Rattus norvegicus: one gene and its partners. The protein of the gene in region 1 interacts with the protein of each later gene in a pairwise test. Links are inferred from orthologs where the notes say so. Each region holds a gene or a part of one and is shown on either strand. Other genes may lie near its edges.

Region 1 (5,336 bases):
GTAAAAAAAATGCCAATGACCATAATAGAGTTCAGACTTCCCTACTCCTTTGTCCCTCAGCCTCAGTCTTCCACAGAGCTCCTGATTGCTGTTTTCCCACTTTTCAGCCTTCTGTTCATAGGCTACTCACCAAGAAATCAGCGTGACATTTGACTTTAATTATAAAACTGTCTTAAAGCCCCACTGACATAATCTTGAACAGATAGAGTAAAAGATTAGTGTGCTGAAGATGTCCTTCCGGGGCTTTCAGAGTACAATTGCTGTGTCAAAGCTACCCCTTCATTCCGTACTGTATTAAATTACTTGAACTTCATTTTTCTCAGGAAACAAAACCTTATGAACTCATTCTTTTAAACATAAGTGTACCAACTTCCTAAACTAAAACAATAATCCCATACATTTAAAAGGTTGGGGGAGAGGACTTAAACCCTGATATTTTACTTGGAAAAATATGAGTAGAAGTCCCACATTTAAGGTCTGTAAAACTTCTCATACTTTCTCAATAGTCACTGAGTAACTACACACGTGTTTGCACTTCCTGTTAGTCAGTTCTCATGGTTCTTTGCATGTGTCTTTTAAACTAGAGCTTTAACTGCCTGTTGTGCATGGTTTGTGCAAATTGCGTTTATTAACTTGTCTTTGTCTTTGATGCTTGCAACCTAATCCATCACAGCTACACTGCCTCGAAAAGAAAGTGCTGTCAAACAGGAGACAGAGAGTGAGTATGCGTACCATGCTGGGAGGCTCTCAGTGCATGGTGTTACTGTCTAGATGCTAGCTGTTTGTCTTGAGAAACATTAACAGCAGATACGTTCATTGCACCGAATCGCCAGGTATTGGAAAAAGAAACCCAGCATGGTGGTTGTCTGTACATCCAAGAAATAAGTGACGTGGTTACAGTTACACAGTGAGGAGTGAAAGCTTTGTTGTCAGAAATGTATGGAAAACCTTAACACCGCACTTCTGTTACAGGTTATGTTTAGAAGAGTCTAACTGTTACTGGAGGGAGGGCTCAGCAGCTGAGAGCACTCGGGTCGGGAGGCTCACAACCCCTGTAACTCCAGCTCCAGGGGATCCCATACCTCTGGCTTCTGCCCACACCCACACGCGCGCGCGCACACACACACACACACACACACACACACACACACACGCACATTAAAGGGATCTGGTAGTGGTTTGTATACTGAGGCCAAAGCTGGAATTGCCCCTGTTATAACTATTTTCCCTTTCTGCCATTACTAAATGGTGTAAATTAACTGAGTCAAGAACTACGGGCTTTCCAAGTGTCTTACTGTCTACATTCTGAGTCCAAACATTATATGTTCTTCTAAGAAGGAGCCATTAGTTCCTTAGTGTGGGTTTCTAGACTCAGGAACATATTAAATTTAATAATAAATGATGGACTTTGATGGGAAATTTGTCAAGAAGTGATAGTGTGGGTCACCTTAATGAACTGCTGTTTAAGACAGACAGTTACTACTCAGCTTTGGGTTTTCTTAGGAATGTCACAAGGTCGGGTCAGCTGCAGTGTTAGCACAGTCCTCAGTGACCCTCATCGGTGCCCCATCTGCTTTGGCTTAGAGAGCACCATAGCTTTACCTTCAGGGCAGGATCCAGTCAGTAAGGTCCTTTCCATCCTGGTCCATAGCTGCATGCAGCTTTCCTTACAGTGTTCTCTGCAGCAGGACCTGGTGTTAAGGAACAGCAAGGACTCTGTAGAAGATGTAGTAGAATCTGAGTCCTGGAGGACAATACTCTAGAAGGTAGCCCCGAGGCAGATTATAGGTCTTTTCTTCATGAGACACAACCTTCAAAGTTCTGTTGTTTCTTAGGTCTCCATGGAAGCTCTGGGAAACTCACTGGATCAACTTCTAGTCTGAATAAACTCAGTGTTCAGAGCTCGGGCAGTCGCAGGTCCCAGTCATCCTCCCTGCTGGACATGGGGAACATGTCCGCTTCTGACCTCGATGTGGCCGACAGAACCAAATTTGATAAGGTAAAATAACAGGCAGTTCTTAACATTAACACTGTGATCGCCTGAAGTGTTTTCAGAGATGCAGGCCTTGTCCTTCCAATTCTGGGTTGGATCTGAAAAATCCCAGTCCAAAGGGCAACTAAAATTTGATTTATCAATTCAGTAACATAAAAGAGTCATTGGCATTTACTTGTTAGAAATATGATGTGTAAATAAAGTCACACCTAAGTTGTTTGAAGAATGACAGAATCCAGAGTTTGAAGAAATGGCCTCACTGTCGGCTGCCATGGTACAGGTAATTTTCAAAGTGTGTCTTCCTCCTCCCAGATCTGAACTGAGGAACTGTGAGTTTTCTTTTCAGTGTGTTTCACTCCAATATTGAATTACTCTGTCAGTCTTGGGAGCGTTGTCTGTGGCACACTGGGGGATCCTAGACTGGGAGATGATCCGGAGTGAATAAACGTGCAGTGTTGTCAGGAGCTCAGAGCTCCGGGCCGTGCTGTGACCGTCAGTGGTTTGCTTTCTGCAGATCTTTGAGCAGGTGCTGAGCGAGCTGGAGCCGCTGTGTCTGGCAGAGCAGGACTTCATAAGTAAATTTTTCAAACTACAGCAACATCAAAACCTGTCTGCGTCAATGGTATGGCTTACATTTAACTGGACAGTATTTATAGTCTAATATAGTTAGCCTAGTTACTTTTGTATTCTGCACTCACAGTTTTGATATCCAAACAGGAAAGGGAAGGCTATCCAATAAGTCAATCTTTAAAGTATTTGTTATTCACAAAATACAGAAAGCAGGAAGGTAGTTGGTTTCAGATTTCTAGGATTCCAGAATTCTTAAGCTGACAACCTCTAAATTAATAAGACAGGAAATGTCTGCATTTATTCTGTAGAGAACTTCATTCAAAAAGCCATTTTAATTGGGGTGTGGTAGCTTGTCTATAATCCGAGCACTTGGGAAGCTTAGTAGGAAGACTGCATGAGTTCCAGGCTGGCCTAGGACACAGAGTATAAGACCTAAAACACCAAAAGTCCTAAAAATTTTAATATTTTGCTGTTCTCAAAGAAAAGCTCTGACCTAAGAGATAATGACACAGAGGGTCAGGGGCCTTAGCTTGGAGTCTGGACACTGTGGGTGCTGCCCGTCCCCAGTCGCTATTAGTGTGGTGCAGATGCACTGCCTGTGGACATGAGAATGGATGAGAGGACTGGAGCCAGTTTTGAAGAATCAAACCACACAGGGAGCTGCGCCCTAAGGCATGAGAAACTCCGCTGCGGGGTAGGAGTGCCGTAAACTTCTCACACAGCTTCAGAAAGGATTCATGACAGCGTTTAGATACTTATATTTATTGTAGGTATTGTGTATTATTTTGCCTGCATGTATGTGTGTGTCCTGCATGTAGAGGAAGCCAGAAGAGGGCGTAGTATGCTTAGGAACTGGAGTTGCAGGTGGCTTTGATGAGCTGTCATAGGGATGTGGGAATCCAACCTGGGTCCTTTGGAAGAGCAGCCAGTGCTTCTAACTACTGAACCGGCTTCTAACCCGACAGCATTTTCAGAGCTGAATTCTCATTCTAAAGTTGTTGGATGTTTTCCTCTGTGTGTGTGTGTGTGTGCGCGCGTGTGTGTGTACGCGTGCACGCGTGCATCTGGCCTCATGCACTTTCTCTTCCTCTTCACAGCCATAGTGTACACATATACAACTACAACTTTTTACCTTATAGTACTTCTCAGGGTTGGGGTGCAGGGGTCTAAAAGCAGGCTGAATAAGATGGGTCATTGCTGAGCAAACCTGTGGACCTGAGTTTTATTCCTGGAACCTACAGAAGAGTGAAGTATATAAGAACAGACTCGGGGCTGGGGATTTAGCTCAGTGGTAGAGCGCTTACCTAGGAAGCGCAAGGCCCTGGGTTCGGTCCCCAGCTCCGAAAAAAAGAACCCAAAAAAAAAAAAAAGAACAGACTCCATCACAGTCTTCTGCCCTCCACACATGCACTGTGTCACTTCCCTGCACACATAGTTAACAAACTGTTAAAATCTAAGAACAATGTATTTCATGAAATTTTCTTAAACATACAATATTAAGTTACTTTAATAGTAATAAAATATTACTATTTTCTAGAATATATTTTCTTGTAGGTGTTTTTAAAAGTAGCCTTTTGATATATAAACTTGTCACTGTGTTGGTCTTATGTGTGAGTATTTTTCAGGCTGAAGCAGAAGACCTGGATGGAGGCTCATTATCACGGCCACAGAGTTCTGGCTCCCTGCTGCCTGTGTCCTCTGAGTATGTATTTATTACTCTGCATGTCTGGAAAACATAAACTTTGAGACATAAGGAAGTGCTTCTCATTAATTTCTGGTTACCTGCTGGTCCCCACACAGACCTGTGTGCGATCCTGGTTATCCTTCTGTTGGTGTGGTGAGGGAAACACTGATAGAAGCACGAGTTGATCTTGGCCTGCAGTTCAGGTGGAGAAATCAAGGCAGCAGGAACTTGAAGCCTGTGGTCATGTGCCATCCCTTGTCAGGAAGAGCAGAGCAATGAATGCCTGTGTTTAGCTCTCTTTTTCCTTTTTATACAGTCCAGAATCCAGCCCAGGGAATGGTGCCACCCATAGTAGGAAGATTTTCCTACATCAAATAACAAAGTCAAGACAATGTTCCCCCCCCACCCCGCGCATGTCCAGAAGCAGTGTAGCATAGGTAATCTTTCACAGTTATAAATGAATGCTTGTCTCCTGGGTAATTCTAGGTCCTGTTGGGTTGACAATGGGCACATGTGCTAAGGGCTTGTGAACTCCTCTGTCTGGTAATCATAGGTGGATTTGTCAGTGCTAGTGTTTGCTGCGAGAAAGTAACCTTCAAACTGTAGTGTGGACTTCTTAGCAATAGAAAAGCATAGTTTAGTGCCCAGCTTTGGAAATTGAAGCAAAGCTAATCAGAATGATAAAACTTAACTTTGGTCGGCCAGTTTTATATTCAAAACTGCTAAAGAATGATTCATTATAGTTTGATACTTTTACTTGTAGTGCCAATGTTTAGCTGTGTTTTTATATAGTACATTACAGTCACAGTTAAAGGTGAATTCAGCCAAAGTTTATACTAACTATATGTTTTTTCATACTTCCTGAACAGGAAAGATATGATTCGCCAAATGATGATCAAAATATTCCGTTGCATTGAACCAGAGCTGAACAACCTCATTGCATTAGGAGACAAAGTTGATAGCTTTAACTCCCTGTACATGCTTGTCAAGATGAGCCACCACGTGTGGACGGCGCAGAACGTGGACCCAGCCTCTTTCCTAAGCACTACATTAGGAAACGTTTTGGTGACTGTGAAGAGGAACTTTGAC
Region 2 (5,336 bases), on another chromosome or scaffold:
CTTCTGGAATGGCCTCCTACGCGCTTTGGAGGGCACGAGGATGCAATGAAAGGTGGCCCGCGGCCTGTGCTTAGTTAACTGGATCTTCTCATCTGTCTGGTCATGCTTTGCAAGATTTCCAACCTCCTCTTTGGTTTGTCTACAGCTGACCCAGTGAGACTTTTCTCAGCCTTACTGGGGCTACAAGCATCACACCCACTAGAGGGCAGGAGGCTCAAGGCCACCAAGCCAAGCCACAGGCATGTGTCCCCGGCTACAGGGAGAGCTGGTATGAAGTCCAGTCAGATCTGACTCCTGAAGTCATTTGTATGTCACGCTTTTCTATTTAAAAACACTCGGGGCCATCTGTAATCATCAGATCCCCCAGGACTTGAGCAACTGTGACAGGGGACACTGACAAGGGAACAGCCACTGGCACTGACTCCTGACCTCGTTTCTACCCCACAGACAGACAGTCTTCCTGTCACTCACTGAAGCCAAAGCTGAGCCTGAGCCTTCCTTCCACCAGGGGCTGCAGCTCACTGGCCTGACCCACAGCAAACCCCCAGCCTTGCTTTGACACTGGCCTTGCAGGGAGGACAGGCTAGGGCCAAGGGGACCAAGAATCGGAAGCCGAATCGGAAGCAGGAAGTGGATCCTGTGATCCCAGTAAACCCCAATGCCACAGTGTCAAGCACACGGCTCTACCTGCTGGAATGGAAATGTCCCCAGTGTGGATATCGAGGTGGGCCTTGGGGAAGTGATGCTGTGGGACCAGAGGGGTGGGGCCCCACTGTGGTTCAATGTTGGAGTGCTTGCCTACAGTGTGAAGGGGCCTGGGGTCGATCCCTAGCACAAGCACAAGGAAGGAAGGAAGGAAGGAAGGAAGGAAGGAAGGAAGGAAGGAAGGAGGGAAGGAGGGAGGAAAGAAGGAAGAAAGGAAGGAAGGCAGGCAGGCAGGCAGGCAGGCAGGCAGGCAGGCAAGCAGACGGGCAGGAAGGTCTGAGAAGGCTCATTTGCTACCTTAAGAGGAGAGAGCCCTTTGAGGACCAGAAACGGGTCTTCATCAGACAGCATACACATCAGCCTTGGCTTTGGACTTCCTGGCTTCCAGAACTGTGAGGGATGTATTTCTGTTTTGAAGTCAGCCAGTATTTTGTTTACTAGTCTGCCTGGACCAGACAATATCACTTCCAATTCTGAGCAAGGTGGGAACAGGTCAAGAGCCAAATAATGGCGACGTAAAGCCCTTATGACAACCACTCCCAGCTCCTGCCTACAGAGCGCTACTCCCCAGACGCAAGCTTCACCCAGAAGGCCCTTCCTGAGGGTCTACCCACTTATTCCAGTCTGGGTACTTCACCCACCACCAACATATACCCAGTGGCAGGTCAAAAGTGTTAATTGGGCTTCCACTTGGGGCCTGCAGTCCTTCTGAGGTCATGAAGCCAACCTTGGAGAACATCCTGGCCCCTCTGGAAAACCCAACTCCACTGCCAAGACAGTGGTGGACCACATGAACCTGAGGACACATTTAAGGCAATACAGAGAAAGATTATGTCCACCTGTCACTGGTGGCTTAAAGCCCTGCCAGCCAACACACTACATAAGGCAGAGAGTCCATGGCCTGTACAGGAGGGTTCTATGCCACCCAGAAAGCTACCTCTACTCTCGTGTGGAGTCAAAGAACAGCCTGTAGGCCTGGGTCCCCAGCACCAGCACACACGGCCACACCTACCCTCTGAGTAGCGTGATTCAGCATTTCCTGCCAAGCAGAGTCAAACTGGCGCTTGTCATCCTCCAGCAGCCGCTGCTCGGCCAGGGAGATTGTCTCCTTGGCTGCACGGAGCACCTCAGTGGCCCTCTGGAAGTCCTGTGTGGCTTTCTGCGCTTCTAGCTGAGCCTGTTGAGAGAGAAGGTCTTGTAAGGCCTGAGGTGAAGCCCGGGGGTCCCTGGGTCCATCCCCCACCCCCAGAGATGAGTGGCCCAGGATTTGATCCACCTCTGCCTCCCTCTTGGAGGCTGCACAGGGAAGTCCCTCACGCACAGGATGGGGTTACAGGAGGCCGATGGCTGAGTGAATACCAGGTTGGTGAGCAGACAGCCTCCATAGTCTGGAGCTCGACAGACCTTGCATCTGTGCTGCCAATGGCTAATGAGGCCTTTCTCTGATGCCCTGGCTTAGGAATGAAGCCCAGGTGGGCATAGCAGTCCTGGGAATCTTCCCTGCACGTCACAGCCCAGAGTGCTCCAGAGACCACAGTTATAGGCCCCATTCTGCAGATGAGGCCTAGCAGCTGGAAACAGCTTTTCCTGAGACTGCAGAGCTGGTCAGAAACAAGGCTCCAGGCCAGGCAAACACCCCAGTACACGACTGCCAGCCTAGCAGCCCACTGCCAGGCAGCCCTCTCAGCCCACACTGACACCCAGGCCCAGGCCTACCAAGAGCACACGTCCTGCTTTCAGAAGGAAGGGAAACGCACACAGCAGCTGTGCTCCTATCTACGGCAGACAGCGTATGCCGGGCCTGTGTATGTCCGTGGACATGTACGTACAAGGACGTGTATGTCCGTGGACGTGTGTACATGGAGAAACCTAACGTTAACACTGAAGACCACTCCTCGGGAGCCTTGTTTTCTGTGACAAGGCTTCTCACTGGCAGGAAGTCCCCTGTGAGGCTAGGCTGCTGCCTGTGAGCCCTGGGATCCACCCACCTCTCGGTTGCTGGGGTTACTGCTGGGCCTGGCTTTCTTACGCAGGTCCTGTGGATTGGGAACTCGGTCCAGATGCTTGCACTGCCAGCACTTTAAAAAGTCTCAGGCCAACATGTAACCCCAGAGCATCTAAATGTGATTAACGAAAAATGTAAACATCCCTTACAGCCTAGACAGAGCTCAGGAGTTGAGGTGCTTGCCACACATGCGAGAGGACCGGAGGCTCAGATCTCCAAAGCTCACAAACGCCTGGAGGTGTGGCAGCTGCCCCAGCTCAGAAAATGAGGACGGCGGTTCTTGAAGCAAGCTGGTTAGAAAGACTAGCTGAAGAGTTCCGGGCTCAAAAACTGAAGCGGACCATTGATTGAGGAAGATTCTTGATTCCCACTCACCCACAAGCACATGTGCACACATAGCCATGAGTACATACATGCTCACATGTATGCCACATGTGAGTATACATACATGCACCACACACGTGCGTGCGCACACACACCAAAAGAATATCCACCTCATTTTAAAATCTCAGTAGAAAAATGTTGGTTATCCCATTGCCATTTTTCAGATGGATGAGATGTGAGATATACTAAACTAAGATAAACTGAAATCAATCTCATCTGTTTGTTTCCTCGTAGGTGACTCTCTACTACTTTAGGGCTGTTGGTGTTCCCCCCTCAAGAGTGGGCTGAGTGATGTGACTGCATCATATGCAGGGCTGGGAAGATGACACCTCCCAGGTAAAGTGCTTGCTATGCACTTGTGAGGACCTAAGTCTAAGTCCCCAGAGTCCACACAGAGCCGACCCGATTAGCATGCCTCTGAAACCTGGTGCTCCAGGGCGGGAGGGAGATGGCGGAGACAGCGGAATCCCCCAGATGCCCACAGACCAGGGCGGCTAGTGTGGTGAATGCAGAAACATAGCCACATCCTATCTCAAACAAGGTAGTCAGTGAGGACCCACACCTGAGGCAGTCCTCTGATGTCCACACATGCTCTGTAGCACGCTCCCCTAAAAGCAGTCAGTGGGGCCACACTGCTGACCTCTCTTCTCGGGCTCACATCCAATTTCCTGTCTGGCCAGGGGCGGGGCATGGCTACATGCTAATCAGCCCCAGTACCACTCCCTGAGTCCAATTATGAAAACCCTGGTGGGACACCCACAGGACAGCCCCTGGGACTTAAGAGGGGAACAAGTGGGCCCCACCCTTCCCCAGAGAAAGTCTCACATGACTCAGAGGAAGTCTTCACGTAGACTGTGGGTACTTTGCAAAGAAAATTAAGGGGAAAAGAAACGAAGAAGCTGAGAACACCACAGCCCTGGGGGAAGAAACAGCCCGGTAACCCACGGTAACCCGAGACGGGCATCCGCTACTCTGGTCTGTGCACAGCCACAGTCCCAGCCCTCCAGCCCACAGAGATCCACTCAGGGGACTGCGCCCCACATGTAGCTGATGTGCAGAAAGCTATGTGCAAGGCTATGTGCAGGGCAGGAGAATTGGACTTGCTTCACATAAGAGGAAACCCAGCAAAGTTTTCCTAAAGAGAGACCTGAAGGGCAGGCAGGAGCTGCAACTCAGGATGATGGAGGGAGGTCAAGGGGAGCGCCTGAGGTCAGACTCCAAAGATGGACCATGAGACAGGGTCTGTAGGAAATCTGATAATGACTGGAAAGGAGCATTTAAAAAAGCCAGCCTGGGCTATACAGCAAAATCGTGCCTCAATAATAATAATAATAATAATAATAATAATAATAATAATAATAATAAAAATAAAACAGCCTCAATGAATGCCCCCTACCAGCCATCTACATCCACTGAGGTAGCAGGAACCACACATAGGGATGGGGATGCCCACCCTCTCTAGAACCGATCAGCCACTGAGAAGTAACTGTCTGGCACTGACAACCCGACTCTCTCTCCAGCTGAGCCCCCTGCCCATTCTTACTTCTGCCACAAGAACAGTCTGGGGCCTCCATCTTTCCAGACGGGTCCAAGAAGAGTAAATCTGGACAGGTTTAAGGGAGATGAATTGTGATCCATCCCTCCAACCTCAGTCTACCTGCGGCTTCTCCACAGCTCTGAGACACGGGCTCATCCCCTGGGACCCTAACATTTTCTAAAACGCGATCTCTCTGTCCCTTCTTTCATTTGCTATCTATCTATCTATCTATCTATCTATCTATCTATCTATCTATCTATCTATCTATCTATCTATCTTTAGTCTGTCTGTCTGTTATCTATCTATCTATTTATCTATCTATCTCTAGTCTGTCTGTCTATTATCTATCTATCTATCTATCTCTAGTCTGTCTGTTATCTATCTATCTATCTATCTATCTATCTATCTATCTATCTATATCTAGTCTGTCTGTTATCTATCTATCTATCTATCTATCTATCTATCTATCTATCTATATCTAGTCTGTCTGTCTATCATCTATCTATCTATCTATCTATCTATCTATCTATCTATATCTAGTCTGTCTGTCTATTATCTATCTATCTATCTATCATCTATCTATCTATCTAATTTTTTTTTTTTTTTGGTTCTTTTTTTCGGAGCTGGGGACCGAACCCAGGGCCTTGTGCTTCCTAGGTAAGCGCTCTACCACTGAGCTAAATCCTCAGCCCCTCTATCTAATTT
Region 3 (5,336 bases), on another chromosome or scaffold:
GTAAGATCAAAACAAACAATTAAACTAGATGAGGACAGGGATACAGTACCCACAACTATTATGTTACCATATACAAAACATGCAATTTTCAAGGAAAAAAAAGAGACTTGTGAAGAAATCAGTCAGTTACAAGGGAACCTCAGAAAGATTAACAAATAACTGTGTAAGATGTGACTACAGAGTGATCCAATTAGGTCTCTATGGTAACGAGTTTACAGACACATAAACAAACATCTACAATGAAAGAGAAGTCTTGAAGGATGTGTTCCAAAAGTAAATTTCATTCTTTAAAATAAGAGGAACCAAGACTAACACATTAGAGAACACTCCCTTCTTCATGCTAAGTGACTCTAACTAAAGCATATGCTAGTGTATCAGTCACGTCCTAAAACATTACTTAACCCTCAAGAGTATACAGAACAGAAAAGTAGCTGGATATGAAGAAAACATAGCACCTTCTCTTAGATAGGATAGTTCTCTATGTGTATCACTCTGACTACTCCTACACTAATGAATGGCCAGCTACTATGCCAAAAGCATCCTCCATCCCAGGATCCAGCACTGGGAATACCAACACAGTGCTAGCTACCCACTAGGTCAAAAAGCAAGTTCTAGACAGCACAGGAGCCAAAAAAGGCTCTAGGTAGACTGTGGGGTAGGGAGTTTATCAATACCTGAATCCCACCAACTGCCACACAGTTCAGATGGTATCTTTACCAACTTTATCTTAGCTTCTGGGCATCAGAATGATATAAATTCAACCAAAAGGAAGCAAGGAGAAGGTGGGGGAAGGCCTAAGCAAAGAACAATGCCTAATACAGTTCGCTCGCTTTTTAAGTGACGATTTCTCCGACAGCCTAGACTTTGGCTCAAGGCTCATTAACTTTAAGTCCCTCTAGGATCAGCTGGGAGTCCTGCCCAACACTGACCAAGAGGATGAGGAGCTGGAAACTGACAATCATGTGAAAGCCACCTGAAGCCACAATGCTACAAGAGATCAAACACAGCATGCTGGGTCAAGTATTTGCCCGTAATTTCTGCCATGCTTTGTAAACTTTTTAAGTGTATTTTTCCTATAACTATTCTGAAATGGTTAGGGAGAAAATACAGAAGTTGTTTTTGTTTGTTCCAGATGTTCCAGAACAATAAAGGCACTAAGGAGTAACAGCAAAATGGGAATTGATCAGTTCAGACTAGTTACCAACTAGAGCAGATAACCATACAGTTGCCTGAACCTAAGGACGCATAACCAATTACTGTACATAGAATGAAAAGAAAACATGCCTTGCTTCTTCCAACTGCTTTTCTCTTGCTTTCCTCTTAGCCTTCTTTCCTTGAGTATTGGCCAAACGGGCTCGAGCCTCAGAAAGCATCTCAAGTTCATCTGCGAAAATAAAGACAAGAAAAATAAGTTCCTCTCCAACAACAGCAGTCAGGCATATCCCAGTGCTTACAATGACAAAAGCATAAATATACTCACTACTGGTACAGGGCACAGAAAACTTGTCAAGTCAGAGAAAGGTTACAAATCATCCCATCATTAACTTGCTCGTTATGTAGGCCTCGTGCCATATTTACCTCTGTGAAAATGTTTCCCATTAAAATCAGAATAAGAATGTCTACTTCAGAGATGCTAAGAGCTAAGAAAAATGAAGTATATCAAGCAAGGATCAAGTATTTGCTCACAGAAAGCTCTACTACAATAGCATCCGTAACACCAACAAAATGACACTTCACCAGCAGAGAAATAATGCAGCAACTAATCATGGGGAACTGATAACCTTCAGACATTTTTCCCCTCAGAATTGTTTTTTCTCCAAGACATTTTCTACAGCTCTCCCCAACAAAACAACAAAAGCAGTCTCATAATGATGGACAAGACTTAAGACTCCACTCAGATCATAGTCCTCTCTCTTCCCTCAGTAAGAATTACCAACTCAGTTTCCTCAGGGGAGGACCTGGTGCCTACAGCTTTAAAAGTTCCCCAAGTGGAAAGGATGTAACAGCCTCATAGTCACATACTCGTCACTCTTGGGAGCCACTGCATTCAGGTTTTAAATCTTTTCATCTTTAAACTACCACGTACCCAAAAAAAGGTAAAGGAGGTATTATTCTCAAGTTCAAAGAGCCTACATGACTTAGCTAAGGTCAAACAGCTAGTAAATAGCAGAGATGGACCCAAAGGCCAATCCCGGACTCTTGACTCGATGTGTTACAGAATCACTGTCAGTCTCCAGCATAGCTCTTGAAGACCAGTCCTTTCCTAGAGAGTAAATCACCCTAAAGTCAAAAAAACAGCAAAGTCCAATATGCTAGCTTGTTGTCTCTCCTTCTAGAAAAGGAACGAGAGACAGGATCCTGCGAGCCTCATCACCCACTTCTGGCACATCTGACTACTACACTGATCAATTCATTAAATGAAATGAAGAAAGAGAAAATAAAGGGTATCATCAAAAAACCAGACACATTTGGGGAGATACCTAGAATAACCACTGACAGAACTGGGATTCTAAACATCAGGAGTTCAGGAGAAACTAAGAAGAGTGTGAGGAAGGCCTGAGTCACATGTTGTGAGCAGAAATTCTTCCCAGCATCCACTCACCCTCATCCATGTCAATTGGATCAGGCCGGGCTGGTTTGGTTTCTGGATTTGGATCTATCTCTCCAGGCTTAAGTTTTCGGGGGTCATCTGTTGTTTCCTCTTCATTGTCCCTTTGGGCAGTTTTGTCCCTTGGAGGGAAAAAAACAAACCCCAGATGAGTCAGTCACAGCATCACCCCATTTAGTATGAGAATTACCAAGGTTCTGGCTCTGGCACTCCTTTCTTTCCCAAAATAACCAACAGATGAGTGTTATGGAAAACAGCATCTTTACAACTGCTTCATGAGAATAAAAGGGACATTACAATTCTCTAATTTCAGTATTTCCACTCATGAGGAAACAAGCAGCCATTCCTCACAAATACAGAACATCCAGACAAATACACTCCTGGAACAGAACGACAAAGTCCTAATAAGCTCTCAGCAGCGCTGCGTTGGTGATGGGGCCTCATGCACCCACTCACACTCACACTCACACTTTCCTGAGTGTGACTAGCACATTTTGTAAACTACCCTTCTACAGGAGAGGCGGAAAACATCATTTTGCTCAACCATTCGACATCTGGAATACAGAATTCAGTGACTTTGGTTTCTCTGGCTTTAGTCACAGGCACAACTAAGCTGGAAATGCTCTAAGCTTGTTCAGCAGGTTAACATAACACAGCCTTCAGGACACTCTGAGGCCCACTCACAGGAGGAATTCATAGTGCTCCAAGCACTGGGCTGCTGTCCTTCCTATGATTGGAGCAATGGTCCTCCACTGCGTTGGCATCAGCTTGGCCAAGTGCAAGAGCTTTTCTTCCTCTTCTCTGGACCATTCAGTTTTCTTAATACTTGGGTCCAGCCATTCGTACCTGTTAAAGACAACATATCAAACATTAGTACTCCATGTACCGACTCTAAGACCACATGCTCTCATCCTTCAATCACTAACACTATGCTGACAAGAGAACTCACTGTGAAGCTGAACTAACTCATCTGCCCCTCTTCACATTACAATGTATGTTCAGTATATAAGACTAGTGAGACTAGTGAGACTTGGGCTGGAGAGATGGCTCAGTGGTTAAGAGCACCCGACTACTCTTCCAGAGGTCCTGAGTTCAATTCCCAGCAACCACATGGTGGCTCACAACCATCTGTAAAGAGATCTGATGCCCTCTTCTGGTGTATCTGAAAACAGCTACAGTGTACTCATATATAATAAATGAATAAATCTTTAAAAAAAAAAAAAAAAAAAGACTAGTGAGACTTAAAACTCTAACAAACTAAAGTCCAAGATGCAATCATGGAACTTCTTTTTTTTTTAACTAGTACTTATTTTTATTTGTTTAACCGTCTTTTGTTTTATGTCTATTTGGTTTGTTTTTTGTGGTAATTGTGTTGTTTTGTTTTGGGTTTTCTGGTTTTTTGAGATAGGGTTTCTCTGTGTACCATTGTCTGTCCTAGAACTCCATCTGTAGACCAGGCTGGCCTAGCATTCAGACATCTGCCTGCCTCTGCATTCCATGATGGGATTACAGATGTGCATCACCATACCCAGCACTTGTTCTTAGATTTTCTGAACTGCTAAAAGTACCTGGAAAAAATAGCACCTTGTATTATTTATATTACAATTTCACTGTACATCCTTATGTTTGAGTCCCACAGCATCTTCACTTACTTCTCTAAACGTCCACTTAAACCCACTGTTTAATGTTCCAGAGCTGTGTGCTTCCATGTGCTGTACTTTTAAGTTTAAAGTAGAAGACACTGTCCGTCTTCTAACGTCTCAGTCTGCCTTGTCCATGAGGTGGTTAGCTGGGTGAGAACCTGTCCACATGTCTAAGTCCTCACTGCCACTGGTGCTCCAGCTAGGCTGAAGCTTAAGGCTTACAGTCACTAAGAGAAAGTGAATCAAACTACTGCAGCCTGAGAGCCCCCTTCCTTCTGCTCTGCATCTGACCCTTCCCACCATCAGAATCTGGGTCACTTCACACAATCCAAATCCTGCTCCTCATAGCATATGGGCTGCAGCCGAGATGGTTCATCCAAGTCCAGGACACTGCTCATGACCACCACTCTGTGACTTAACAAGGTAACACATAAGTAGAATGTTGCATTTTAGTATAGCAAATATGCAATATTGCTGCCCTATTAAAAGGAAGCTAACCACTGTGACCTGGCCTTTAAAAAAAAAAAAAAAGCACTGTTTAGCATTTATTTCTTTGGGAAAGTAAGTCCTAAAATAACCAATTTATAAACTTTTAGACCACAACTTATTCAATGAACTGAGGCCCAGCTACCTAAGATTTTGTATTGTGTCTCACAAGGCACTCTCAAATAAATACATTAACTCACTTGGACAAGGATTCACAACTGATCAATTAGTGCTAAGTTGTGAGAAAACAGGCAGGGTAAAGAGGAGGAAAAATGGTTTGCTCAAGACACAGGAAGCAAGTGGTAAGTACATCTAAAGGCCCCTCTTTCCATACTTCCCTCCATATCACAGTTCATGCTTTAGGGGAATAGAGGGGGTCAAAGAGCCAGCTCCCTCATCACAGTGGGGATCCGGATCACACTGCTTTCCCCTGGACTGACTGGTACATACATACCATCTGGCTTTGCACTGCTTTGCCGATTTCCTATGCAGCAATGAGGCAATCCTAGACCACTGGTTTTTCCCATATTTCATTACCGCTGCTTTAAGAATTTCATCCTAGAGAGTTACCAAAGAGAATGCATTCAGTCACAAGCCTC

What was found.
Region 2: the proteins of Exoc1 (region 1) and Sh3bp5 interact in a two-hybrid assay, tested with the Homo sapiens proteins (2 studies listed by BioGRID and IntAct). The link is inferred for Rattus norvegicus from reciprocal best matches to the Homo sapiens genes EXOC1 and SH3BP5.
Region 3: the proteins of Exoc1 (region 1) and Cdc5l interact in a two-hybrid assay, tested with the Homo sapiens proteins (2 studies listed by BioGRID and IntAct). The link is inferred for Rattus norvegicus from reciprocal best matches to the Homo sapiens genes EXOC1 and CDC5L.

The regions. Positions count from the first base shown.
Region 1 is NC_086032.1:31,978,648-31,983,983, reverse strand, and holds part of Exoc1 (exocyst complex component 1), read left to right. Parts: intron 1-673; coding exon of another isoform or gene 674-718; intron 719-1,835; coding exon 1,836-1,999; intron 2,000-2,507; coding exon 2,508-2,615; intron 2,616-4,188; coding exon 4,189-4,265; intron 4,266-5,116; coding exon 5,117-5,336.
Region 2 is NC_086034.1:6,601,402-6,606,737, forward strand, and holds part of Sh3bp5 (SH3 domain-binding protein 5), read right to left. Parts: intron 2,690-5,336; exon of another isoform or gene 2,422-2,689; intron 1,883-2,421; coding exon 1,718-1,882; intron 1,096-1,717; coding exon of another isoform or gene 1,003-1,095; intron 1-1,002. UniProt on the Homo sapiens protein: Functions as a guanine nucleotide exchange factor (GEF) with specificity for RAB11A and RAB25. Inhibits the auto- and transphosphorylation activity of BTK. Plays a negative regulatory role in BTK-related cytoplasmic signaling in B-cells.
Region 3 is NC_086027.1:23,064,871-23,070,206, reverse strand, and holds part of Cdc5l (cell division cycle 5-like protein), read right to left. Parts: intron 5,296-5,336; coding exon 5,192-5,295; intron 3,455-5,191; coding exon 3,293-3,454; intron 2,731-3,292; coding exon 2,603-2,730; intron 1,385-2,602; coding exon 1,285-1,384; intron 1-1,284.